Rhinolophus ferrumequinum: one gene and its partners. The protein of the gene in region 2 purifies or fractionates together with the protein of the main gene of each other region. This does not show direct contact. Links are inferred from orthologs where the notes say so. Each region holds a gene or a part of one and is shown on either strand. Other genes may lie near its edges. The genes, in order: NXF1, XPO1, ATP-dependent RNA helicase DDX19A and NCBP1.

Evidence for each region.
Region 1: the proteins of XPO1 (region 2) and NXF1 purify together in Homo sapiens (affinity purification with mass spectrometry; 3 studies listed by BioGRID and IntAct, with this or other methods). This does not show direct contact. The link is inferred for Rhinolophus ferrumequinum from reciprocal best matches to the Homo sapiens genes XPO1 and NXF1.
Region 3: the proteins of XPO1 (region 2) and ATP-dependent RNA helicase DDX19A fractionate together in Homo sapiens (co-fractionation; 3 studies listed by BioGRID, with this or other methods). This does not show direct contact. The link is inferred for Rhinolophus ferrumequinum from reciprocal best matches to the Homo sapiens genes XPO1 and DDX19A.
Region 4: the proteins of XPO1 (region 2) and NCBP1 purify together in Homo sapiens (affinity purification with western blotting; 3 studies listed by BioGRID and IntAct, with this or other methods). This does not show direct contact. The link is inferred for Rhinolophus ferrumequinum from reciprocal best matches to the Homo sapiens genes XPO1 and NCBP1.

The regions. Positions count from the first base shown.
Region 1 is NC_046294.1:8,034,641-8,041,490, forward strand, and holds the start of NXF1 (nuclear RNA export factor 1), read left to right. Parts: upstream 1-3,825; 5' UTR 3,826-4,192; coding exon 4,193-4,220; intron 4,221-5,721; coding exon 5,722-5,905; intron 5,906-6,121; coding exon 6,122-6,275; intron 6,276-6,840; coding exon 6,841-6,850. Other genes in the region: STX5 (syntaxin-5), read left to right, coding at 1,911-2,070.
Region 2 is NC_046296.1:27,576,477-27,583,452, reverse strand, and holds the start of XPO1 (exportin-1), read right to left. Parts: upstream 3,013-6,976; 5' UTR 2,237-3,012; intron 1-2,236. UniProt on the Homo sapiens protein: Mediates the nuclear export of cellular proteins (cargos) bearing a leucine-rich nuclear export signal (NES) and of RNAs.
Region 3 is NC_046298.1:21,992,134-21,999,709, forward strand, and holds the start of ATP-dependent RNA helicase DDX19A, read right to left. Parts: upstream 3,006-7,576; 5' UTR 2,885-3,005; coding exon 2,828-2,884; intron 50-2,827; coding exon 1-49. UniProt on the Homo sapiens protein: ATP-dependent RNA helicase involved in mRNA export from the nucleus.
Region 4 is NC_046295.1:54,149,546-54,156,440, reverse strand, and holds the start of NCBP1 (nuclear cap-binding protein subunit 1), read right to left. Parts: upstream 3,015-6,895; 5' UTR 2,771-3,014; coding exon 2,737-2,770; intron 2,366-2,736; exon of another isoform or gene 2,288-2,365; intron 1-2,287. Other genes in the region: TSTD2 (thiosulfate sulfurtransferase/rhodanese-like domain-containing protein 2), read left to right, coding at 6,164-6,328, 6,869-6,895. UniProt on the Homo sapiens protein: Component of the cap-binding complex (CBC), which binds cotranscriptionally to the 5'-cap of pre-mRNAs and is involved in various processes such as pre-mRNA splicing, translation regulation, nonsense-mediated mRNA decay, RNA-mediated gene silencing (RNAi) by microRNAs (miRNAs) and mRNA export.

The DNA of each region.
Region 1 (6,850 bases), on a different chromosome or scaffold from region 2:
GGAAACTGAAACTCAAAAATTAAAATCTCAGATCTCTTAATCACAGTCACATAATCTTTCCAGTTCTTGGGCTCACTGTCTTTGGTTCAAACTCCGTTTTTTTGTTGTTATTGTTCCCAACTTATACTCACCTTCTAGTCTTCTGGTTTTCCAGGCCTCTCACATCAGTGTCATCAATTATCCTTTCTGTTCAGCAAGACTCCAGCTTCTTGATGCTTGATTCTTTCCCTCTGGTTTTTCTTTCTCTCCATAAGACATTCTTTTGTCCTGTTCCCCATGTAAACTTTTCCTTTTAAGTTTTCTTCAGCCCTCTCTTTCCCAAGCCATTATTTTCAGCCCTATTCATTTCCATTTTCTAACTCCCTGCTACTTCTCAGTGTCCCACTGATTACTAATTTTTTTTTCACCACCAGTGTTCCCTTCTATTAGTTTCATTCGTGGACTCCCATTTAAAATCTTTTGTGTGTCAGATTGCATTTATTGTTTTTCCATTTTTGTTCAGCGGAGCCAATGTGAGCTTTATTGAGTATGACATGACAAATGCACCCACACTGAGAAATGTAATTATAGCCCCAAACTAGGAAACCTGGTACTTTAGTTAGCCTCTCTGACATACGAGGGAATCATGTATAATCTGGGCTTCCGTATTTGGACAGAGATTAGCTGGCAGTTTTCATGACCACCTTCCCAGGACCTGGGCCTTTCCTCTCATATTCCACCTAGATTGCAAGGCTCCATCAACTTTTCTATCCTCAACAGGTTGGAAAGGTCTCTAACTCCCAGGGACTCACTTTGCAAGGACCAGGGTTTGTATTTGGTTTTTAGGATTGCATATGCAGGTCGGCTGGGAAATGTTTCCTTTTCCTCAACAATCTCTCAAGAGATTACCCTTTCTCTGAGGACTTCTCTATACCCTGGAGAGACAGTTTCTCATAATATAGGGCTTTTCTTATCCCCTGACTGCCTGTTCGTGTCATTTTTTTCCTTCTTGTCTCACTCTGAACCAGGATTTCCTGACTATGATGGCCTGTGAACTTTTCTCCCTGTTACAAATGCAATACATATTTAAGAAAAGTCAATAAATACTGATGAACAAAACATTATAATAGCTAACATTTTGGGGGCTTTTAGTATGGGTTGGGCACTATATAGTTGTTAACTTAGGTAAGACTGACAACAACGAGAAAGGTAGGGTTTGTGTTATCCTCACTTTTCCTTCTTTTTCAGTTGAGGAAAATGAGATTTGAGGTTAAATGACTGGCTTAGGGTCATCAGCTAATAAGTTGTGGAGCTGATTTTCAAATCAGATCCAAGACTTGTTTGTATTACCCTTCCAGAGCTTTTTGTATACACAGATACACTGGGGGTGCCAAAAAAATGTACACATTTTAAGAGATGTTATCTACGTATTACTTTTGAAAGTTGATTTACGGTATCAATGTGCAATATGATGTTTGTTCAAAAGATGGCATTAGGGGAGGCCAGATAGCTCAGTTGGTTAGAGCATGGTGCTTTTAATAAAGTTGCCAGTTTGATTCCCACATGGGCCACTGTGAGCTGCACCCTCCACAACCAGATTGAAACAACTACTTGACTTGGAGCTGATGGGTCCTAGAAAAACAAACTTAAATACATAAAAATTAAAAACAAAAAAAAGGCGTTAATCAAATGAATGCTAGCATCATTTGTTGTATTACCATTTTAATATAATACAGTTTTTTCCTTTCTTAAAAAGTGTATACATTTTTTTGGCACCCTCTGTATATGCACAAAAATGGAATCATATTGTGTATAAACACTTTCTACTTCCACCTATTGTGACCATCTTTTCCTGTCAGTAAATATGCTTCAATAGCTTTCTTTTTAATCTAGTGACCTTCTGTTCCCTCTCTCCCCGGCCCTATCCCCAGGATCGATGAGAACGTGCTGGGAGCCCAGCTGGATGTTGAGGCCGCCCATTCGGAGATCCTCAAGTACTTCCAGTCGGTTACGTCCAACCGGTGGCTCATGATCAAGATCTTCCTCATCCTCATTGTCTTTTTCATCATCTTTGTGGTCTTCCTTGCCTGAACCCTCTCTGCTCTGAGGCACTCCGCGGGGGTTTGGAGCTCACCTGGGAGGGCAGGTGGCCACTGCTGCCCCTGAGCCTGTGCAAGGTGCTTGGAAGAAAGGCCCTGTTTTCCTGGAACTGCTAAGAATGGCCACTGCCCCTGATTCCCCACCCCTTGCCTCTGGCTACCCTGTCCTCCCCTCACCACCCTCAGGCCCACGAAACACACATGGTTCTGGATTTGGACTCTGCTGTGAAGTGGCTGGAAGGGAGCAGAGGCCAACTGGGCGGCCAGTGGGGGAAGTTGTCTCCACTAGGAGATTTTTATAAACCCTCCCCAGCCTCTCGCAGAGGAAACTTTGGCAGCAAGGGGAGATGATGCCCTTCCCCACATCCTGAGAGTGAGGAGAGGAAGTGAAACTGCCCCAGGGACCAACTTTCCCATCTGGGTTAGAATTTGACCTCTTTCTTCTTCCTCTCTTCACCATGTGAGGTGGGGGCCCTGAGCCCCTTGGCTGCCTGCACAACCCCAACTTTGGCTGCTGGTGACTCTCAATCTGCCAAATGAGCTGCAGCCAGTTTCTCCCAATTACAGCAAGACCGTCAGCCTCACTAGCCATGTTGTCATTTCTGGGTGGGAGCGTCGAAGGGCCAGGCAGCAACTGGAGTGAGCCCCCTGCCCTGTACCAGAACTTTTCAGGTTGGGCTGATGGCTGTGAGAGGCAAGGCTTTGGGCTCTGCACACGGCAGCCTCCGGGCAGGGGAGAACCAAGTGCAGCAGCACTTCATTAGCATGGCAGCTTCCCTTCAAAGGGGGACGCAGGATCCCAGAGTGGGTTCCCGACTGGTGGCAACTTCCAGGACCATCTCCAGCAGTATTTGGACCTGTTTCACCTGCATCCTCCAACCAGTTGGCCCCAATTTTCCCCTGAGCTGGATGAGGCAGGAGCTCTGTCTGCTGCCAGGAATGAAAAGTGAAGAATTTGTTCTCAGCTCCAGCTGAGGTTCTTGATCCCCTCCAAGCCCCTCACCAAGTCCAAGCCAGTCACAGGAGAATGAAGGTGAGACGTACCTGGAATACCCGCCCTCCAGGGAGGTCATTCGGAGATCACTGGATTCCTCCCACCTCACACACCCCAGAGGAAGCTCAAACTATAGACGACAATCACCATACACTCTGCTGGCCCTAGTACTTTGGGGGGTCTAGGAGAGCCCATGTCTTTCCTAGCCCTGGCATTTTAAATTTCTCCCCCCTCCTCAGCCTCTGTTCAGCTGGTGGCCCTGCTAGAATCTTTACTACCCAGTAGACACACCATGTGGGCCTAGGACAACACATCAGTTGTGGGTGGGGCTGTTTGTGAAGACAGTTGCTCCGTCAAAGCCTGACAAATGGCAGCCTTTCTCATTTGATTCCGCAACTCTTCGGGGGATGCATAGATCAGAAATTCATTTATTTCACAAATACTTGTTGAGTTCCTGCTATGTGCCAGGCATAGTACTGAGTCAGGTGCTGAAGGAAAAAAACCGTGAATTATTCAAAGTCTCTGCTGCTTGGAGCTTACGTTTAGTTTTCTATATCCTGATAATCCATTTTACAGGCGTTGAAAACGAAGCGTTGACCCGCAGCCCACAGAGGGCTGAACTGAGACAAATACGGGTTATATCCCGCTAGGGGTCTGGGAGCCTTCACTCCCGCTCGGAGGCCCAGGTCTCCCATTCCTGGGAAACCCTTCATGTGGCCCCTCTTCCCCGCTCCTCTCGGAGTCCTGGGCGTCAGGAGCCTGCCCTCTGCTCCAGCGCTAATCCTGGAGGTGCTGGCGTAGCCGCGGACGGAAGAAAGCGGGCGGCAGGGCGAACCAGCCCCAGCCTTTGGCTAGGCGAGCTCAGGTCTAGGGCGAGTCGGGCAGCGGCGGAGCCCCGCTGCGCGGCGCGGCCGTTCGCCCAGTGCGCACGCGCGGCCGTCTGCGCTCCTCCCCGGAGGCACCGCCCACTACCTGGGGACGTCGACGGCGCGCGGCGCTCTGGGCCAGATAAATGCGGCGCTGCCGGCCGTAGGGGCGCTTCGACCTGGATCACCTGGGCGTTCTGACGATTGGTGGCGTTGTGGCCCGCGCCTGAGCCCGCCCTGCTTTTCGCTGTGCCATGGCGGACGGGGGGAAGTCATACAACGGTCAGTGTTGTCCCCGGGGGTGGGAGCGGGGCGATCTGGGCCCCGGGTGGGCGGCGCTGGCCTAGGCCGCAGCCCTGGGGCTGGAGGCCGCGAGGGGCCCGCGTCCGCGGAGAACGGTGGAGGCGCGGGTCTGGGGCGAGGCAGCCCCGGGGGTCCCACCGGACTCGAAGGTGGGAGCCCGAGTTGTTGACTCCGGAATCCTGGCGTTGCGAGGAGCTGCGGCTCGGTGCGGGTGGTTCGGCGGTGGGGTGACGAGATTCCTTTGAACTTTGTGGGTGGTGGATCCCTGTCATTTCAGTTTGGCGGCCAGACTCTTTAATGTGAGTCAGTGCCCTTCTCCTGAGCTACCTGTGCCCTATTTTCTATCGCGTCCAGTCGGTTTTGTCCCCCTTCCCTGCGGTTTTGGCTTAATATTTTAGATCTACACACCATCTCGATGTTCTAGACCAAACACTATACTGGGTCCAGAGTAGTGGTTTGGAGCACATGACAGCCGAGATTTCAGTCTTGAGTTGGCTACATCAAGCTTGAGTGAGTTAAACGCTCAGGCCTCATTTTCTACTCCCTTAATGCAGGTAGAAACAGTACCTACCTCCTAAGTGTGTGTGTGTGTGTGTGTGTGTGTGAGAAAATGAGATCATTCATATCAAGTGCCTGGAGTATGGTAGTGCCTGGCACTGGAGAAAGTTCTCAGTGAATGTTAGCTGTGCTTTCTATTCATTTCTTCTTTTTTTCTAGGGTCATTTCTTGAAGTTCATTGTTTGCAGGGTGCTGCGCATTAGGCAGACCTTGTTTGAAGTCATCGATCTTTTTTTAAGAAACCATTCCTACACACCAGGATTCAGAGGGTCATATTCCTAGAGAGCAGTCGAGAACTCTTGGTTAAGCACCCTAGCTGCCATTAGAACCTGCATCTAGAATTTGTCTTCTGAGTTAAAAGACATTTCTGGCCAAGGAAACAAAGAACTCACTCCCAAAACTTCAGAGTTTGAGAACAAGACTTTAAAGAAGTCCTTAAATTGGTCACATTTGTAACATACACTGTATAGGCAAAACAAGCATCGTTTATTGAAAGCTGATGTAATAGTTGTGGTTGCTTGGTTTAAGGGGATGGGAGAGGTCACCATTCAAATACTGAGTAGGGTTAAGTAGGTTTGAGAGTCCGAGTGAAAGCAGATTTCATTCAGGTGACTTTTGAGGGGTCTGAGTTGTGCCCAGTTTCACTTTTGGGTCACTCACATTTCCACATTGTGTTTCTCCTCTCTGTACTTCCAGTTTCTGCTTCATTTTTCAAAAGCCCTGCATGGTTTCCCAGTGGTTTTTCCCTTTTTGGTGCCATCCCACACAGAGGGTTCTTTCTCTGGAAAGGCGGGGGAGTTTGCTTGGAGGTAGCCTCTGCAGTTAGTTTGTATCTCATCCAATAGTGCAGCGATACTGTAATTGGTGCCACAGCACAGCAGCTGGGCCAGTTTTCTAGTTTGTGTTCTGTTCCCAACTCCAGAGCATGATGATCGAGTTAATTTCCCTCAAAGAAGAAAGAAAGGTCGGGGTCCTTTCCGGTGGAAGTGTGGTGAGGGGAACCGTAGGTCTGCAAGAGGAGGTGCTAGCATTCGATCTTCCCACCTTGAAGAAGATGACAGAGATGTGGCGATGAGTGATGCCCAGGATGTTCCCCGAGTAAGATAGTGAGTAACCAGTGGATCTGGTTTGAATTTGTCGACTCTTTTACTTATATACTGTTACTGTTTGTGTCGTTTCTCTTCCTACCTACAAGAGTGAGGACTGCCAGGACCAGCTTAATGGTTGAACAGTCTTAGTTGTAGTTCTCATAACAGTGCAGCAAAGACTTTGAGAAGCCATTCCTAGTGTTTATGGACATTTTATTCTCTATTTCCACACAGCAACCCCTATGCTGCACGAACTAACCGTCGGGGCGATAATTGGCAGGATCGAGACCGCATTCATGTTACTGTGCGAAGAGACAGAGCTCCTCCACCGAGAGGAGGGGCTGGCACCAGCCAGGACGGGACCTCAAAAAAGTGGTTTAAGATTACAGTGAGTATCTTGGAAATAGATGGTGTAGGAGAGATGAGAGGCAGGGCTCAGAGTGAAGGTGTTTACCCTTCACACCACAAAATTAGTCTTCTGAGCTGTTTACTCCACAGTCAGGTATCCGTCCTTTGGCATAAGGATCAATGTCTTAGAACCTAAGGGCAGGTGCAGAAAAGGAATAGAAAGAATAGGCAGCACGGGGAGGAAGGCAAGGCCATCTAAAGGGAAACGTGATGACTGATTGGGAGGTGACATAACTCCTTTGGATGTCTCCATGTGGCTCAGACTGAGTCGTGGGGGTTGGGGCCCCTTGACTTCTGAGGGGCAGGCAAGGTAGAAATAATATCTTAGGACTTTTAGAATCAAACAATTTGATTCTTTTGATGAATAATAAGTATAAATAGACAAAAAGGAGGTTAAGGAATCCATGTCTGACTCCAGTAGTAAAGCTTTAACTGGTGTTTTCTTTAGAAAATCTTTTAAACCTTGGCAGACTATATGAAGCACTAGGTTGTATCTCCTTTTCAGCCTTAGTTTCATATTATTCCCGGCCCTTTCTCTCATGTAGATTCCTTATG
Region 2 (6,976 bases):
AAAGACTCAGGACACTCTGAAAGCCATGCGTGAAACCTCACGTTAAGAAACCTTGGTTTACTGTATTTAGACCCAACAAGGTCAGATGGTCATCGCCTGGTGTCCCCCTCTTAACAACCTTCCAAGATCAGGAAGTCGGTGTCTGATTTGATTCCATTATGTTTGGACAAACTAGCTTGATTGGAAGATGTTATTTCTTAGCTATTTTATAGCAGTTTAAAAATGTTAATAATGGCAGCAATTTCAATTTTAACCCACGTTTCATTTAACGATATCAGTTACAACAAATTATTAGTTGAAAAAACGAGTCAGTTAAGTTAGACATAAGTTAGACAATGTAAAAACACGAGAAATTAAGAGTTGAAGGATTTTTTATTCCTAAGTCTTTTGATCCATTGACAGTAAAACTGATGATTTCAAAAACTTTTATAGCAGTTATGAAACGTGTTTTAATACACAATATTAGCATACACAACAAAAATCTTTGATCTAAATACTAACCATATAAAAAAGGAAATATATTCCAAATAAATGTGTCCTCCCTTCAAGTGCCAATTTTAAAAGAGCAGAACAGCCTTAAAAGTTGAGGTTGAACAGCAATGTCCACAAAGCACCAAAATCTACATATCAAGTGTTTTTTTTAATTAAAAACTAGACGAACTTTTCTCCCATTTAACCCTATCATAATTTAGTAGCCAAAACAAAAAAGTAACGTGCTCTAAAAGTTTCATTTTCGAGTACACTGTCCTTGGAGTTCTTCCAGCTAAATTCTTGCTAAAAACTCAGATGTAGAATAGAAACTTGTGTTAAACACATTAGAGTTTGCCATCCTTAGAACTAGCGGCTATCTTCGAAATGACCTACCTATTCTTGAACTGTACGTAGTACAGAAATGGCGGCTTTCTGTTCAATGCCAAGCACACTTAGTCCCCCAAATCAGCTTCCCAACTATTTTTTCCACTAACTTCAGTATCCCACACGCTTAAGATATACAATCAGGCAGATAGCAAACAGGCATAGCGGGAGAGGGAAAAACCACAACACAGCTTTTTATTCTTTGCGACACTCAATCCTAAAATCCACTCACTGGATAGTATACGTTATCCAGCAACGTGGTGACTCTACAAGTGACTACCAAAATACCTTCACTGCCACTTCCAACAGAATAGGCAGACAGCTACACACTGCCAGCTCACATCCAAAAACAGTAAAATCATAACCGTCGCTTAATGATAACTACATAGTAAGTCAAAAAAACAAGTCGCTACAAGGACAGAGACTGCTACTTGGGTGTGTGGGCAATTGCTTGCTCCATTCAGTAGAAACACACCTCACTAAGGCCCGCCCTCCCCTCGCTCCCACCCGAAGCGATTTGCAGCACTTCTAACTATAGCATACCCGAGCACGCACTCACCCCGCCCATACTCGGAGGAGGCAAACACCAGGCGCACCAAGTTCACCGCCCCATTCTCTATGCAGCATGGCCTCTGCGTGATCAGAGGAGCTCGGGGCTGGACAAATCTTTAATGCTTCCTCTACTACACCACTTCCTCCCACCCACGCCAAACTCAGAGACATCGGAATGAAGGAGAATCAGGGCATCGTCCACTCTACAACACCAGCAGTAAATGATTCGATCACAACACACTCAAGCCCCCGAAAACAAACTGGGACACGGAACCCATTTACAGATCCCTAAAAAATCAACTAACCTTTCCTACTTTAATCCTACCCTGCAAAAAACTAGAAAGATTTTTGAGTTTCCTTGCAAGAGGAGCAGGGACTCGGCAGCCCCTCCCTCCCTCGATCCCAAGCTCTCCACCGAGCGGCCACGTGATGCAGGCGGACGTTTCAATGCTGCTGCACTAAATATTTCTGGAAACTTCCACTCCTAATAATTTACAGAGATGTTCCTGAAATCACCCCAACTTCTCCCTATCCCCTTGGGCTGGGGAAGCCCTTCCACCCCCGCGTGGGGGCCCTGCTTCACTATCACGCTCTTCGCCTTCCTCCACCGCCACCCTCACACACGAATGACCCAGCAAGCGCTCCCCTCCCGCGGCCGCCTCCATCCCCCAGTGGCAGAAGCGGCTCCATTCAATCGCAGGCTCCGCTGTGGGCCCGCCGCCGCCTCCTGGGCTCGCCTCCCGCGGCCGCCGCCGCGCCCCACGCCGGCCTCCTCCCGCCCCGCCGTGCCGCCGCCCGACCCTCGGCCCCGAAGACACAGTCGACTTACCCAGAGATTGAACCAACTGCTTCTTCCTTCCTTGTCGGGGGATTAGGGCGAGGGAAGGCAGGGAGAGGGGAGAGGGGAGGAAATCAAGGTGGGTTTCACAGTTTTCCCACCTTAAAAAAGGAAATTAAAAAAAAAGGATAAGGGCAAAAAAAGCTCAACAATATTTACTATTTCAGGGACACCTCCCCCCGAAACACACCCACCCGCCCCCCCAAAAAAGAAGGGAAATTAATCTGAGAAATAAATGCTCCCGCCTGGCTAGGGAGTAAGGAAAGGGGGAGGGGAACGGGGTCAAGTCCCAAAGATTCAGCCCCAGGGAGACCCTCCAGCCACAGGCGGCAGCAGAAGCGGCAGGAGTAGGGGGTGTAGAGTCCACACGGTCGGGGGACGCTCTGCTGCCAGTTGCAGTCCGACTCCCCCTACCAAAATACGGCTCCCTCTCTCACGCGGCTCCGGCGCTGGGCCCCCCCCACCCCGGCTCGCCTAAACTTTCCCCCCTTCTCCTGCTCCTCAGCGACTGGTGGTTCCCCCCTCCCCCTCTGGGTGGTTGCACGGACTGCAGCAGCAAAGACTGGAACAGGCACCGCCGCCGGGGCTGTAGCTACTGTTGCTCTTGCTGATGCTGTAGCTCCCGCTGCTCCTGCCGCGGCCGCTGCAGCCGCTTCTCCCCCTCCTCCTAGTGCCTCAAACTCGGAACCGGTTGAAACCGGTTCAGACTGGGAGATTCCATCTCGGTTGAGTTTTCAGCCCATGGCGCCGCGGAGCGTTTGGAACCTGGGCCTCCGCCCCCAGCCCGACCGCCCATTGGCCGGTTCCAGCCACAGCCGCGCCATCAGCCTACCTCTAACTGGCCAGATCCCCCGTCAATCCCACCTCAAGTCTCCACACGAGCCCGCCGCTTCGGCCCCCGCCTCTTTCCAGCAGCGATTTGCCCGCAGAGTGGGGGAGGGGAAGTGGGGCGGGTCGAAGAGGAGCAAGGAGAGGGGTGGAGGAGGAGGAGGTGGGACGAAGAGCTGAGCCCAGCAGAGAAGGGAGCGAAAAGAAGACGCGTGGAAGATTGGTTCGAGTGAGCCGCCAATCAAATGCAACCCGCCCTCGACTTCCCGTCCCCCTCCCGCTGCTTCCTCTCCCACACCCGCTGGCCCAGCCTTTCCGGCCCGCTCATTGGCTGGGCGCCTTTGGTGACGGAGAGGGTGGGGCGCAGCTCGTGAGCTGGTGGTGGCGCGAGTTTGAGCGCGGCGCGCAGCATTTTCGCTCGGCTTTCCCGGACCCGTGCCGTCCCGCCCCTGTCGGCTCCCGCCAACTTGCGGGGCCTGAGCCCGCCGGAAGAGGACCCGCCCTCTCGAATGGGGGCTGCGCTACGAAAAGGGAGGGCACACCCAATTTTTCTAATCAGGGAGAGGGGTGGAAAGAAAACGAACACATCCGAGGCCAAATGTAGGCCCCAGACCTCTAATCCATTTTAAAGCCCTGAGTTTGGGGCCTGGGGAGTTGAGGGTGAGAACAACCGTAAAAGAGGTTGAGGTGAGGTGTAGTAGAGACGTTAGTGCTTGGCTCCTTATGATCTCAGAGACCTGCAAAAGACAAATAGTTGCTGGGCAAGTCTCCTTCAAATTTAATTCGGTGTCTCCCCAGGCTGGAATTTGGCTGCTTCAACAACCAACCCTTCCTAAAAACTAATCCCTATAGTGGTTTAACATTGCATATATTCGCTGGGTAATCTTGCATGCCAGTTGCCTCCCACTAGGTGCCCTTGATCTGCCTGTACCATCGATTTTTCTTTGCAGCATAGTTGCCCTTCTAATGCTTCATCGTCACCAAATAGTATTTTCTATGATAGTCACGCGCACGTGGCCTTTCACATGGTTGCCTCTCGATTGTCCCCAAGTGCCCTCAGCTTTACTGATTGTTCTTTGCTTAAGAAAAGGCGAGCGGCACACCAAAATTTTCTGGGCCCATTGTGCCACCAAGAGGTTGATAAATGGTTTATTAAATCAATTTTTTTCAGCAAATCTTCACTCACAGTGGTCAATGGCTGACACACCAAAGCACCACTTAAAAATAACTCCCTCGTCCAATATATTGTGATGGAAAGAGAACTGAGTCTGGGTGGTAAGCACACAATGTGATACATAGATGATGTATTACAGAATTGTACACCTGCAATCTATGTAACTGTACTAGCAATTGACACACCAATAAACTTTAATTAAAAAAATAAAATAACTCCCTCATCCTCCAATAAAGAAAAATCCAACAACTTATTGCCTAAATTTACCAAAATGATAATTGGATGACTTTCAGACCTAAGGTTTTTATTCATTGCCTATCTGAATAATACAAAACCATAATATATATGACATAAACTAATCATTTGGAACACTTAACATTCTATTACCAGAAAAACTGAGACTGTCCTATTTTTTTTTTTAAGTTTTTCCCTCTACATATTCAGCTTTGACCAGTCACTGAATTTTTAGATGGCAGAACAATAGGAATAAAAACTGGGAGTAAGACCTGGTTTTGCTCAGACTGTGACCTTGGGTGATTCACTTCATCTTTTTGGGCCTCAATTTTTTTTTTCTGACACACTTAATGAAACTGATACCATCTATGCCTGTCTAATACATGTAAGGATCAAGTGGATGTGAAGGAGTGCTGTGGCCCATAAAGCACTTTGCGGATTTTAAAGTTCAAATGGTCTCAGTTTGCTATCCCCTTCTTTGACTCTTTTCATCCCTTCTTTAAATCATACCCCCAGGAGTTCATATTGTGTGACCATAATGAATCAGATGTAAATACCGGGGGTGCCAAAAAAATGTATACACATGATTTGTATTCATCTTTTGTTATTGGTATATATTGAGTATTAAAATTATAATACAGTTTTCCTTTTTTAATATGTGTGTACATTTTTTTGTATTTAGCCCATTATTTTTTTGCCTAGAGTTAGCCAAAATGGAGTATTCAATATAAGCTTCTTATTAACAAGTGCAAAAGGAAGTGACAGGGCAGATAATTATGTTTGATCACTGTATTTTCAGGATCAAATTCAGAACACAGGTCTGACGTGTGTCTAATACTTTCTTCATTACCTTCATTTGTTGGACTCACACAGATTTCAAACCTTGGTGGATATGGATAAGGAAATGTAAATACCCTGTTTCCCCGAAAATAAGACCTAGCCGGACAATCAGCTCTAATGCGTCTTTTAGAGCAAAATTTGCTCTAAAAGATTGTCCGGCTAGGTCTTATTTTCGGGGAAACACGGTAAACCATATTGAGTGCCTGCCTGCTGTCTAGCAGACTGTTAGAGACCTTTTTTGTACAATATTTAACTGAATTCTTACAGCAACCCTGTAAGATAGTTACTATTTTGCAGATCTCACTCTGTTCCACGCCCCCATTCATACGCATATACACATACACGCAGGTACACACCACCCCATAGTACTTTAGTCCATAACTAGAACCCATGTTTGTGTTCTTCGTACTAGTTCACATTGTCTCGCAAAACAATAACATTCATCAAAAATAAGAGAAACAGAAACTCATAAATTCCTTTCTACCAATTGTCGTGTATTTCTATTTTTTAAATTATTTTTAATTTAAAAAGTAATGCATGATCACTTAACAATTCAAACAATAGAGAAAGAATTATCTACACTAAAAAAGTAAAAGTCCTCTTCCTATGCCCCGCCATTTCTTTTTCCTGTCCAGAGATAATCATCATTAAGGGTGTGATGGTTTGAGATGTTTTCTATCTATTCACAAACATATTTGCTTTGTGTTTTGTTCAACATATATGATATCATACTATACATATTGTTCAGTGACTTGAGTTTTTACTTAGCATGTCAGAATGTATAAATCTACCTCATCCTTTATTAACAGCCTCATAGCTTTCCCCATCTTCTCAGTACCAGAAATAATTCAACAATTCCCCCCACTGAGGACAATTAGGCTATTTCCAATTTTTCCCCTTACAAATGCTGCTGCAGTAAATACCCCAGTACATTTATGTTTGGACACATTTGTAAATATATCTCTAAGTTAACATCCTAAAAGTGGAATTACTGTGTCAAAGGCCAAGTATATTTGTTATTATGATAGGTACTGGCAAGATTGTGTCAATTTGCATACCCACCACAATATGTGAACAGTACCTGTTTATTCCTTATCAAAGCTATAGATATTAAGGTCACACCAGAGTTAAATAAGGAATCTTTGCATTTTAATTTGAACTTTTGGTTCTGGAAGGCAATCTTCCCTGACGGTGAGCTCTTCAAGGAATATACAAATGATAAGATTAAATGCCCATATAATGTAGTAAAAATATTTTTTTAAGTTAAGGATATGCAATAAATCTATTATTTTTAATAACAAAATTGTTATTTCAATCGTTTTGAGAACATTGATACCACTTTGCGCTCAGAGGTACAGCAACAGTGACTTTCCAAAATGCACTTCTTCCTACCAGTCATGAAAATCAGACACTTGGACTGAACATACCATGATTCACTGGGTATGTTCATGTATCGAGAACAAAGTCATAATCCCATGGGCTTATTCTTCCTAATGACTATCTAGGGCACATTTGTGACTTTGTAAAGCCTGAAAGGAAGCACTGGGAGGCGAATTTCTTTGAGAATATTTTATACAAAATCTTTTTTCTATTTGCTTTTAAAAATACTGTGCAAAACACTACATCACATCACATGCTTAGATTTCAAAAACATT
Region 3 (7,576 bases), on a different chromosome or scaffold from region 2:
CATTGGTATCTGGTTTGACTTTCTCTTCCTTGATCTGCAAATTACTGATCTGAAAAGAAATTTAAAAACACTTGAGAGCAAGCCACAGGATAACATAATACCATGAATTATTTATTAAGTTAATGTACACAAGTCTATGTGGTAAAATAAAATGGGGGTGGGGGAGGGTTTTCTCCAACTGTGAAGAAGCAATGTTTTAAAACATTTAATTACACCACCCTTCTGATAAGCAGATTGGTTAGAACCAGGTACCAAGTATGTTAAGGCCTACGTTTGTGACATATCACAGCTAGATTAGATCATAGGTTTAAAAAGTTTTGAAACCAATTCTTGGTAATTATCTTTTAGGGAAGATCTGATGCTAAACATTAGATTGTAAACTCTAGAGTGCCAGAACCATATACTAGATAATACCTTTTGATTTCTTTGTGGACAACTGCCAGTTTTATACATCTGACCTGATTTCTTCTCCAGAACTCCAGTACCACATTTCCAAATGTCTAATGGGTGCTGTGCAGAAAAGAGTTAACAGAGCAAGGCTGACTACTATCCTTAGGAAAGCCAGCTTGCAAGGTTGGCCCTTGGCTGGCATCTGGGAATATGGATTTTGAGAGGGCTCCCACCATTCTCAGAAATTCTGAGGGGGTCCCTATGCTTGTAAAAACATGTGGTTCATGTTAAGACCTGCTTTTCTTTTGGGAATCTGGAATTTGGGTATAGGCTCAGCCGAGGATGACTATGTAACAGGCCCCTCAACAAAAACTCTGAGCACTGAGTGTCTAATGAGCTTTCCTGACAACACTTGATGTATTGTTACAATCTATTGCAGGAGGAATTAAGCACACATTAAGTGGAGCATGTGACTTATCATCTTTTTTCTTTCAAGATTTTTTCTTTGTCTTTGATTTTCTACAACATACATAATTAAACATATTTACATTTTTAGCAATTATCTTGTTTGCTGTTTTCAAAGCATCCTAGATCTGTGTTTTGGCATCTGCCATTAATTTTGCATAGTTATTGGCCAATATAGCTTCCACTATTTCTTTTACTGTCCTCTCTTCTCTTTCTAGTGCACCCTTTTACTTTTAGCATACGCTTTTCATTCTTTCTTAGATTTGGAAGAGGATTTAGAAGCTTGCGCCTGGTTTTCTCAGGACTTTGCTCCATGAGCCCATGTCTTTTGCTAATTTTGCTTTGTAGTTTTTCATTGAATAAATCATAGCTGTGAGTACCATTATATGCTGAGTCCGTGAGTTCTCCTAGGAAATTATCAAACTTGGAAAACTCTTCAGAACTCCCAACACAGGTATTTACCAAGATGTCCTCTTTACCTCAAATTTGGAACAGTCAAAAGTAAACTCACTATTTTCCATATCAGAACTGCCCTTCTTCCCACTCTCCTAGTCCTATTATTAGGATCCAATTGAAAACAGTATCTTTGCCTTCCTCTCCCTTCTATTTTCTAAATCTTTTCTATTATACTTCCACAATTATCTCTTAAATCCAATCTTCACTTTTACCACCCAACATATGACTTCTATCTGGGCTATTGGCATCATTTCCACACTGATCTCCTTTCCTTTGGATACTATTCATTCCTTCTAATATATTATGTTCTCTGTAGTCCAACAAATCTTGCCAGCACTCCATCTAATTTTGTTAATATCCTTAAAAATCCCCAAACCAACCAAATAAAGCCTCTCCTCTTAAAGTTTTTAGTTAAGGTCCAAAAATATACTCCCTACAATATTTTCTATACTGCTTCTACTACAACCCAGTAACTCAGCAAAAATTAGTTATGATTCCTGTTCTCTAAGCAAGTGCAGCACTTTTATGCATTCTATTTTCCTAAAATGCCTTTCACCTCCATCTCTACCTTAAATGACTCATTCTCTAATATCCAGTTCAAATGTAAATTACTTGAAAAGGAATTTCCTACTCATTAATGTCTTCTCCCTTGTCCGAGTTCAGTTATCATTCTTCTTACCATTTTCACAGCACTTTCCACTTTCTAGCCTTCCTAACTAGACTGTAAAGTTTCTTCCTATTCTCCAAGGAATTAAGCCCATTTCAAATATCTGCTGACAAACTGACAATTCTCCCAACGCAATAAAGGGTGACTGGAGAAGAATGTAATTTAGGTATTAAAAAGTTATTTAAGATTTCAGACTACAAAAACAAAACAACCAAAAAAAAAAAAACCCACCAAAAAAACAAACTGTATTCCTAAAATCAAGTCCATTATCACTAAACAAATCTAAACTTAGACACAAAAACAGAAAGTTACAGTTTAATTATAATTATATTCCAGTTGAATGGATCTTCATTTATCAAAGAAGAACCAGTTTACGAAACTAAATGTTACTTTAAACATCAATGAAACAATTTGTCGTGCCTCTCGCCAATATTTGCAGTAGACTAAAATATATATAAACCTGAATCTGTTATTCTGCAAAGAGCTACAAACTGCCAACCACTTTAAGCATGGATCTAAAAAAAATGTTAAAATAAGCACAGAATCGTTCAGAAAACAGATGAGAAAGAATCAGCATCTAAACGCCTTTCCTTACAATCCCCACAGAAATGGAGATGCAGTACAGGAAAAGACAGCCTATGTAACGGGGTCAGATTTGCCACAGGATAAAAGTCTCTAACAGGCCCAGATGAAGAAAAAGGCTCGATATTGGTCTCTCTAGGCGCACATCAGGGCTGATTCCCCGGTGGGCCCCGGGCCTGCCCCACCTGTGGGGCTCCCTGGATTCGAAAGCGGGTCCACTTGGCCCGCCACCGCCCCTTCTCCCCGCCCGGAGCTGAAGACACTGACCGACTTGACAGCCGCTTCCTGTTCGTCCACTGCCAGGGCCCACGAGTCGGTGGCCATGGTCCCAAGGGAGGGAGTCCGACTCGCGAAAAAAAGTACCGCACCGCACGCCAACACTTGCCCCGGTTCCCCCGCTTGCGCGAGACCGACACTCTCGCGGACCGGAAGCGGCGGTGAGAAAAGTGACGTCAGCTCCTGCCTGGCGCGAGACGTCACCATTTCGCGCCGCGCCGCCTCCCAGCCTGGCAGCCTCTCGTCAGGCGCGCGCTCGAAGCTTCTGTGGGTTTCCTGAGGCGCGCAGCCTCTTCGTTCCTCAAAATCTCCAAGCCGTGCGTAGTGAAGCTCTTAGCTCTCACTTTGCCATGCTTCACACTGAAGTTTTATTCTTAAACCTGCCTCGTCTCAAATGTGTCTCTGAACTCTAAAGCCTTACACAAAAGAAAGTCCCGTGAGAATACCACGTGGTGCCAGTTTCTACTCTTAACGTGACAACAGGTAAGACGACAAGAAACAAAACATAACCAAAAGCCCTTAAACCCGCTTTCCCATAATTCCACCAGTCCAAAAAATACAGCAGCGTTTCTTGTTTTCCTTCTGGGTCCTTCCGGTCATTGTCCATACACATCATAGCACGGGTATTTTACATAGTCCTAAACAAAGTATATATACAATTTAACATTTGACCTTATTATACGGCTAAGTGTTTTTTAATGTCATAATTATCAATTTAAAAACATTATAATAGTCCAAGCTCATATCACATAAATTGCCTAACTCCCCAACTCCTAGCCCCTTGGGGATATCAGTTGTTTCTGATGTTTTATCATCAGTTGATACCTCAGTGAGCATCTTCACACCACCAAAAATCATCTTGTTTGTCGCCAGTTTGCTTTTTGTCTCCCCACTACAATATGAACTCGAAACAAAAGCAAAGACCTTAAATATCTTGGTTACACAGCTGGTTAGTGAACCTAGAAAAGTTCATGGCACATAGTAGACTCAATAAATATCTTTTAATGTATATGTGTATGAATAGACTAACAGATTTTAGTTCAAAATGTATCCCTCTAGGACACATTTCTAATCATTGCAACATTTATGTCAAAATGTATGACTGACTTGAATACTTGACAAAAGAGGATAGTCAGGACATGGAAGGAGTTCGAAATCATTAGTTATTAAGAAAATGCAACCAAAGTCACAATGAGATACCACAGTACACCCGTTTGAATGGCTAAAATTAAAAATTGACCCACCATGTGTTAATAAGGATATGGAATGTTAAAAAATTATTCAACGACGTTTGTTAAAGATGGTAGGGAAGACTATTCAGGACCATTGCAATAGGTATAGGGATCATTGCAATGGGATGTTTGCAGTGGGGGGAAGAGCTTGGGCTCACTTTAAACATCAATGGGCAAGTGGGAATTTATAGCCAAGGAGGCAGGAGGTGGTATGAGTGGATGAACAATTACTAGGAGGAAACATTAGGGGCGTTCTGGTAACCAGCCTAACACAATTCTTGCTGAAGACAACCCAGAGTGATCAGACATCAAAGGAAGGGGATGGTGGAAGATGAAGAACATGATCAGATACTAAGGGTGATCAGATATCAAGGGTTCTTGCTAAAACATACAAGGAAGTGCACAGATTGGCCTAGCAGAAGGCTCAAGAGCCTGACTAAAGTTTGGCCAAGCAAAGAAACTTTGTCAGGAGCAACTGGAACTCATAGGCTTCTGGAAAGAATGTAAAATGGCACAATGGTTTTGTTGTATAACTTTTTGGCAGTTTCTCAAGTTAAGCATGCACCTACCCTTTGATCCAGCATTTCTACTACTACTTATTATCCAAGAGAAATGAAATATATGTCCACAAAAAGATTATACAAATGTTCATAGCAGATTTACTCAAAATAGCCCCAAACTGGAAACAACACAAGTGTCCATCAACAGAATGGATAAACAAATTATGGCATATTTATTCTACGGAATACTACTGAGCAATAAAATGGAACAGACTACTGATAAACGAGATGAAATACATTAATCTTACAAATATGTTGAAGGAAGAAGCCAGACACAAGAGATGCATACTGTATGAGCCATTATATGAGATTCAAGAATAGGAAAAACGAAATCGATACTGATAAAAATTAACAATGGTTGCCTCTGGAGGGGGGAAGTTTGGGCAGGAGACAAGGGAAATTCCTGGAGTGATAGAAATGTTCTCTATACTTGATTGAAGTCCTGTTACATAGATGTATAAATTTGTTAAAACTGTATACCTCGTTTTACTAGGTTTCACTTTATTGTGCTTCACAGGTGTTGCGTTTTTTACAAACTGAAGGCAAGACACTCCATTAGCAAAAAGACGACTACTTGCTTTGTTGCAATACTCGCTTTTATCACAGTGGTCGGGAACTGAACCTGCAGTATCTCTGAAGTATTCCTGTATTTGCTTTACTGTGGTGGTCTGGAACCGAACCCACAATATCTCCAAGGTATGCCTGTATTTTAAACGTCATTTTATTTTATATAAATCACCCCTCAATAACATTGATTTAAAGAGCAAAAGAAAAGGAATGAACTACTGATACATGCAACAACACAAATGAGAGATTTGCCATCGCATTATGTTGAGTGTAAGATTCCAGACATGAAAAAAATATATGGTACATGATTCCATTTACATAAGTTAAAAAGAGATATTTATAGTGATAGAAATCAGAACAGTGGTTGCCTGGGGATGGGCTGGGGTGAGCAGGATTGATTGGAAGGGCACAAAGGAACTTTAAGGGCTGATGAATGTTCTGTATCTTAATTAGAGTGGTAGTTACACATGTGTATACAATTGTCAAAACTCATGGAATTGTACACCTAATATCTGTGCATTGCACTCTACATATATGTCAGTTAAAAAGAAAACAGACAATGCAATGTAATTTAAAAAATCGAAGTTTAAAAAATACAGGTAGTAATAAGTCTATCTGTACTGTATAAAAAGGGAGGAAGGATAAGAATATTTTCTCAGCTCTTAATCACTCATTAAAACAGGGCATGCACACACTATGCTACAGAAGTGAGAATGCCAAACACCATACTGTCTTCCCAAAGGACTAGTCTAGTTCCCAGCATCCTCAGCACCAATGAGCTACTGCTTGGAGGCTACATTGTTTTTTGGGAGATAGCACCATGGCCTAACTCCTTGTTGGGCAGCAACCCTAGGGGACACTGCAGATTGGTTTTCTGAGGAATAATGCTCTTGTCTTACTTTTGTAGCAATCACTTTTTTAAAAAAGATAAAAAACTAGATGTTGAGGCATCTCACCCTCTTACTCTTTAACTCAACCATCTACACAGCAAAGCTTTCCATAAAAATCAAAAGCAGCAGCACTAAAAGACTCAATTGTAAGTCCTTTGTGGCAGAGGTCATTAGAGCAAAAATTGAAGTCTGGGTGCCCACTGGGTGCCCTATATCAATTGCTATTTCATTACAAAGTGCAGCTGCTCTAGCACTCATATGATGATGCCTACATTGCTTCCACTGAAACACAATTCCTAGAGCTAAACATAGTCACCTGGGGAATTGAGGATAGGATTTTTGCTTGCATTGGATTTGTAGGGCATTTGCTGGAATTTCTTTTTATTTATTTCACTGCCTGCACCTATTAGAAGACTCATTGGCATTTGTTTAATCTAGGTGAGTGCTCTCAGGGAAGACTCATTGGCATTTGTTTAATCTAGCTGAGGCTCCAACTGGAACACTGAAACCAGCCCGTCTGTTTGGAGCAGCTCCGGGCAATAGGGCACGCTCTACTAGGGCTACCACTCCCTCCCCCTCAGCTAATGTTTCTATTCCAAAAGGCGGGTATCCAGCCAGAAGCCAGTGAGAATCGCACTCCTCTCCAGACCAAGACACGGGAAGGGCACATTCTCCTGAAGCTGCGGACTAGATAAACACCCTCCTGTCCTAATTCGGATTCGGTTAGACTGAAAAGATAAAAAAGAGTTAACATTTTTTTAATGCATCCTACACGATTTACTTGAATCACCCCCCATTTAATTCTCACAACTTTCCTACTTTATCTCCATTGTACAAATAAGGAAATTGAGGTTCAGAGAAGTTGACTTCGGCAAGATCAAATGGCCTAGTAAGTGGCAAATCTAATATTTGTATTCAGGGCAACCCACTTCCAGGAACTAATGGGTGACAAAACCAAAACCAAGGGCAGAATAAAGGCTTTCCTGGGACCTGGGACTTAACTTTTAACTTTTGGTTAAGAGCCCAGCTGGCCTCTGATTGGCTGAGGCAGGTGAGCCAACCAATCATCAGAGTGCAATAGCTTTTCCCAGGGTACTTTGTACTTGGCTGTTTTGGCCTGAATCTCTGCTGAGATGCTGATTGGATGAACTTGAACTGCGACTTGTTGACTTGTAACAGGATGATTTCATCATCACTCAACTGTGAGTCCGGTGAGCAAAGGCCTTACTTGTTTTGCTCACCATTGGCTCCCCATCACCTCATCCATTGTAAAAGCACATTAAACATCTGTTGAATTAGGGAATGATGAATCAATAAATGAATTGAGAAAAAAAACATCTCTTATGATCATTCTCTGGCATCTCTCGTTCTCTGGCATCATCATTCATTCAGAGCAAATGAGTGCAGGGACTCGCACCACTTGTGTTTGCAGTGGGGCTGGGCACGATAGGGTGGCGGCTCTGCTCTGGGAACTACCGCTTCTCCCTCAAG
Region 4 (6,895 bases), on a different chromosome or scaffold from region 2:
GCACTGAACCAGCATTCATGCACATTAATTTCCACTTAGCACTTCCCTTTCCTTGTCTATAAATTGACCTCTCGGGGAACTCCATTGGTATAGTATCCTAACTGTCTCCCTGGATCCCAAATACTCGTCTCAACACAGATACAATTTTAAAATTACCCTCTACGAGCTGATCCTCTGCTACCTCTCCGCCTCACTCATTCTGCTAGCCCTAAGGTCTTTGATTCCCTATGCTGAGACCCCTGCTTTCCCCCATGTAGCCGGCGGGTTTGCTCCCTTACCCACTGCAGACGCATTTCTCAGGGAGGTCTTCCCTGAACAACCTATACAAAACAGTAATTCCCTGCCCCCCCCCCACAGCAGTCTCTACCCTCTTTACCCAGTTTTCTTTCTCTCTGTAACACTTATCACCATATACTATACTATATTTTACTTGACTGTTTCCTGTCTGTAAAAGGGAGGCTCCATCTTTATACTGTCCATTGCTGTACTGCCAGTAGTTAGGACAGTGCCTGGCTCTGATGAATATTTGTTGAATAAATGATTATATCTAGTCAAGCACATGGAAAGTTATGGCAGTCACTGACTGACTAAGAGCTGACAATATCCAGCAATGCTCTGATATATCTATTAAACTATGATTATAATAATTCAGCCTATTTTAAAATAGCCTTCAATAATATTTAAGCTTCTAATATTTCTAATTAAAAATTAACAGATGCCCAACTAAAAGGAAAGTATCTAAAATATTTGATTCAGATCACTGTTTAGGGTAAACCCTAGCTAATTATTACCCAAATTGTGGCAATTTACAAAAGTTCCAGATTCAGTGTAGTATCCAAGAGGAACTATAAATTGCCCTTCCATTACTAAATTATTCATTCACCACAGTAAACTTTGATTAATTAACTCCTTATTTGCTTTTTTGGTTTTTACTTATTCTGAGGTACCTGCAGCAAGACCCAAATAGACAATGATTTAGCTGCCAGCTGGTACTAAAAGAAGGTAACTCCCAAGAAAGTTACAGCAGCATCCCAATAACCGAAGCAAAAGTTGCGTTTCTACAGATTCAAATCCAGTTCTCCAGGTAGCCCTCTGGAAACATTTTCTCTCCCTGTAGGGATACTCTAAAAGAGAGAAGTAGAAGTGGAGAAAAGAAAGTGTGAGAAAAGAAAATGGAAGAACTTTAACAAAAGGCTCAAGTTCTTTAAACACCAAATGATGACTTCAAGCGTATTAGCTTCTGATTAATCAAACTCAAAGCATATGAAAACTGTATTTTGTGTGCCCCAAATGTACACAAGAAACCTCCTGTGTTTCTTTTTTTTAAAAAAAGGCATGAAGCATAATGCCTGGGTAGTGAAGAGGACCCTGGAACTTGCACTCACTGGTGTCTGGGCACTGCTAGCTGTGACTCCATGTCAGTTACACTAAAATTCTAGACCTTTAGGTGTCAGATGAGAAAGCTGGACTAGAATATCCTTTCAAGACATGCCCCAACAGAAATCTGATGTTTCGTTGTTAAAACTAAATACACTTGTTTTAGTTTTACCTACCCTAACTGCCCCGACATTCAAGGAGAGAAAAATATTAGTGCAGAAAATTCAATTAAAATTTTTTGTTCTGTATTTTTCTTACATCATTGACATCTGCCAATGCTTACCTCTTAAGTATTAACAGATGATTAAATAAACATCATCACGAGCCATTCATTACAAGCGTAACTTCACTTAACCATCACAAAACCGTGGGGAGGTATGTATCACCTTCTATATGACTTCTACATTACAGACTAAAGTTTAAAGAGGTGATAGAACCTGAGCAAGGTCACAAAGTAAATGCTAGGGTCTGGCTTTGAACTTAAACCCCCTAATTCCACAGTCTGGCCTCTTAAACACTACACTCTTTTCAAACAATACACTAAAATACTAATAATAGAATGACTCTTAGTTCCTTTTATTGTGGATGTGTGTTCTTGACTGATTTTTGCAGTGGAAGCACCTTTTCCTACTTTTAACTAGCAAAATTATTCTTGGTTTATGACAACACCCTGACCCCCACGAGCACAACCATCCAAATGGACATGGCAACTCCTGAGCTAAATCTCTGCGAGCTCTCCAGTTAGTTTCCCAGCACTCTCTTACACGACGGAAATACAATTACGGCCAGTGCAAATCTAACATAACACGCATGTGTTTGTCAGTGACCTCTTGGGTGTGGGTAAGAGACACACAAGCTTTCCCTGAAGCTTGAAAGAAGGCAAATCAACAATGACCGGTAGGGGAGCAGAGCTCACAAAGCGATTCATCAGCTCTCTCAGTCACGGCTTTGTTCCTTTCCTTCAATCGTGTGGGAGAGCCCTTTCCAGGTGAGTTGGAGGGTCAAAAGGAGAAACTGAGGCTAGAGGGTCCCTGCCACTGTCCCCAAGAGGCGCCGCACAGACCCACAGAAGTACGTACTTCTCTGCTCGGCGGTGCCAAGGACCAAATCCTGACAGGTCGTTAGAGGCCTGGGGCCCCCTCAGGCCTCCTACCGGACAACGACTAAAGGAGCGGGAGCGAGGGGTAAGAGCTTTCTAGAAGTCGCCCAGCCACACTCCCGCGGTGCCACCCCCCTTCCCTCCGCGACTCCCGAACGCTCCCGGGTGGGAAGGGCTTCCCTCGAGACTCGAAGACGAAGGAAGCCAAACGTCGGCACCCACCTGGGCGCGGCCTCGTCGGCCGGGCCCAGGACACTCACCGTCGTTCTCGTCTCTGTGCCGCCGCCGCGACATGCTGCACGCCGGTGCGCGGACGAGCCGAGTGGGGCGGGAAGCGCCGCAGGAACCGCGGGGACGCCGGCCCGAGGACAGCGGCGAGGCGCGCGGAGTGGCCGGCGCGCAGGCGCACTTGCTCGCGACGGCTCCCGGAAGCGTAAGCGGAGGCGGCCGGGTGGGCTCGGCAGGTTGGGCAGAGCTAGAAGCTCCTCAGGCCGCGGGCGTCCCGGCCGCTCGCCACCGCCCCCTCGGGCTTCCTCCGCCTCTTCTCTCTCCCACCTTTCAATGTAAGTCCTTCCGGGGACACGCAGATCGCGCCGCCTCCTCGGCCCACCGAAGCCCGGGGCTGCGAGCCACGCCTGGAGGCAGCGGTCTAGGACGGACGCTCTAGTCCCCGCCTCCACTCCAGACCCGCCCGCAGGGGCTCGGAATGATTTTCCCGGCGGCCCTTTCGCTCACATCCTCGAAGACTTCCGGAGCGAAGTGACGTCCCGAGCGTTTTTTTGCTACGTAAACTCAAGGTGGGGGTGGAGGCTCGAGGGTGGTGAGCAGTGTTACTGATTAGGCGGAGAAGGTTCAATGAAGAAAGGTGTAAGAAAGGATCGGGACTGGCGGGTACGTGCGCATCTTACTCCCACTTCGGGGCTTTTGCCTCCTCGGGAACGCTGGGCGGAGAAGTTGGGCCAGACCGGTGCTCAATTTCGATATACGGCAGCGTCCAGCCGCTTGCTTAATTAAAAAATGTAGGTAGAAGTCATTCGTGGCTCCTCCTTTTCCTTCACCTCCTACATAACAATCTATCCCTAAACCCTGCTGGCTCTACTTTCAGAACGAATCCAGAATCAGACGACGTTACTCCTTTTTGTTCCCAGTTCTCCCATGACTTGCCGTTGCAGATTTCATACCCTGACTTCCAGGGTTCTCGTCTCTCATCACTGTACTCCAACCACTCGGACTTTCTTCCGGTGCCTCCAATGAGTTAAGCTTGTTCCCACTTTAGGAATTGATACTATTTCTTTTGCCTGGAGATCTCTGCTTCTAAATCTGCATAGATGGCTTGTCATTTAGGTCCCAGCTCAAACATCAGGTCCTTCATGAAGCCTTCCCTGGTTACCCAATGTTTTAGTTCATTCAACAAATATATTGACATTTAGCACCTCCTATGTGCCAGGCAGTGTTCTAGATGCTGAGGATGCAGAGGTGAACAAAGGAAAATCCCTGCTTTCTTGGTGCCGATGACCCATCTAAGAACGGGCAAAGAAAACAGTGCAATCGGAGGTGGTGGGCAAAGGGAGAGTAGTAGAAGTTGAGATTAGAGCGGTGGTCGGAGGGGCTTTGTAAGTACTTTGGACCTTATCTGAGTAAGTTGAGAAGCCTTTGGAGACTAATCTTATTTTTTAAGGTAACTGTCTCCTACAGGAGGAGGGCAGTTAGTCTGTGGCAATAATTCAGTCAGGCAAGGATGGTGGCTTGAACGGAGTTTGTAGTAAAGGTGGTGTGAAGTGATCTGATTTGGTTGTATTTCAAAAAGCAAAGTTACTAAGATTTTCGGACGGACTGGAAGATGGTGTTGAAAGAATAAGGAGTCAAGAAGAAGCCCAAAGATTTTTGAGTAACAGGAAGGATAGAATTGTCATTTATGGAGGTAAGGAAGACTGGGGAAGAGCAAGAGTTTGGTTTTGAACGGTTACCTCTGAACAGCCTGTTAACCCTCCGGCTGAAGCTATCCAGTAGACAGTTGGATGTGTGAATTTGGAGATCAGGAGAGAGGGCTCCACCTGGAGATATAAATCTGGAGTCAGTATATAGTATTCTAACTTAAATTTTCCTTTATTTATGATTGCTTCCCTTTTTTTTAATGGAAGTTTCAAATATTTACAGAAGTTGAGAAAATTATACAATGAACCTCCATGTACTTTATCAACCAGCTTCAACAATTACCAACTAAGAGCCAGTCTAGTTTCACATATATTATCCCCCTCCCCTTACACAGTTATTCTGAGGCAAATAAAGTTTTTAAGTCCTTGGGAGTAGATGAGATCACTTGCAGGGTGACTATAGATAAAGTCATTCAACATTTAAAGTTGGGGACAATATGGAGGATCCGCCCCACCAAAGGCAATTGAGAAGCAGCAGCTCTTATCACTGATATTTTCATGTTTTTTAATTTGTTTACTTATTTAGTGTCCCTTACTGGAATGTAAGTTACAAGAGAGCAGGGACCTGAACTGTTTCATTAAGGCCTGCAGCCGCAGTACTGTTTTCTATGTGCCGGGCACATACCAAAATCCCCACATAGAATAGTTAGGAATATATAAGTTTAAAGCAAGAACTGAAAAGGATTGTGAGTGAGGGGAGGTCAATTTGGGGTGGTGGGACAGGTGTATGTGGAGACACTGAGGCAGGAGAGGGAATGGCGTGTTTGTGCCCTGTGGCCAGAGTAGGATACTTGAGGGAGAGTGTTGTCTGAGATAAGCCAAGAGTGGTAGGAGAACTAAGGATGTGCCAGACGTTTTACATGTCCTTTCCAGTCCTCACTACAGCCTTGCAACGTAGACATTGTCATCTGCATTTTAGAAATTAAGGACGTAGAACTCAGAAGTTTAATATCTTGCCCAGGTTCACATATTTGCACCCAGCTGCACCGCGATCCAGAGCCCATGCTTTTCTGGTGTTTTATGTTGCCTCTTTGTCACTTGTTAACATTTGTTTTATAAAAGCAAGAATGCAGTGTGTTGATTGTATAGTGTGTCCCTTTGGACAAGTCCTGGCCACAGTAACAATTTGTATATTTCTTCTGGCTCATTAAAATGGGGGCTGTTTCAGTAGTTATTTCTTCTACGAAAGGGAATTTGCCCAGCTCAAAATCTACGGGACAAAAAAGAACGGTGTTTATAACTGAAGTTGCTAGCACACAGCTTCGCTGATTTCCATTGTACCTGTGCTTTTTTGATATCATTTACCCTAAATGTTTGCATGGTTTGCCTCCTAATTCAGGTTTCTGCTTAAATGCTACTGCCTCAGACTACTCTCTGTGTTTTAAAGATCCCCTCTATCACTCTGGTTCCTTACCCTGCTTATTTGTCTCCGTAGCCCTTTTTACCATCTGACTTATTTTTTAATCAATGTATTCATTTGTTTACCTCCTGTCTCTCCCCACTGGAATGCAGAGACTTTTTCTGTTTCATTCATTGCTATATCCCCAGTGTCAAGAACAATGCCTGCTAAATAAATATTTGTTGAATGAATGAGCGAATGGGCTACAGGGCCCATGCTCATTTGCATCATTGATTAGCTTTGAGTTTACTTCAAGTAGTAATCAAAAACTTGGACATTGTTGTTTCTCCCTTGCTCACTTCCTAGGAGATAGTTAACTGAAAGGAATCTGCTCCATTCTTGCAACCAAGCCAGATGCCTTCTTCCGCTTCACCAGACCAGGGAGAGGACCTGGAGACCTGTGTTTTACGATTTTCAGACCTGGATTTAAAAGACACAAGTGTTATCAATCCCAGTAGTAGTCTCAAAGCAGAGCTCGATGTCAATACAAAGAAGAAATACTCATTCGCAAAGAAAAAGGTAAAATTGCTGTTGGTGTTGTGGGATTGTGCATGTGTAGTTAACGCAGATAGATCTAGAAGTAGCTTATCAAGGTTGTCCTCCAGGGAGTGGAAGGTTAGTGAGACACTAGGCTGTTGCCGTGTTCAAGGTAAGGTTTAGTCAGAGCCATTACTAGTGATCTTAATTCAATGCCAGGCAAAGGAGAATCGTAGGCAGGTGTGGCTCAGGAACACTTCTGGTGGAGCACTTGAGGACCGGTCCTAGACAGAGGGGCTGGGTTCCTTTCCCCACCTAGGGTGACAGGAGGAATCGCAGGAACCCAGGAGACCTAGTCATAAGGAAAACAGACACTAGGGCAGCTGCTACCTAAGACTCCTGATCTGGTCCAACTAGTATAAAGGTTATTATGAAAACTGTTACTCTCACAGGAAGTTCTACAGAATAGTAGAACATAAAACTGGAAACCCCTGTGGAAAGATAATAGAAGGGATTTCACTGAGACTTCCATTAGCCTTAAACCTAAGGTTATTTAACAGTGACATTGGCGTGTAATTGCAGGCATTTGCCCTTTTTGTCAAAACCAAA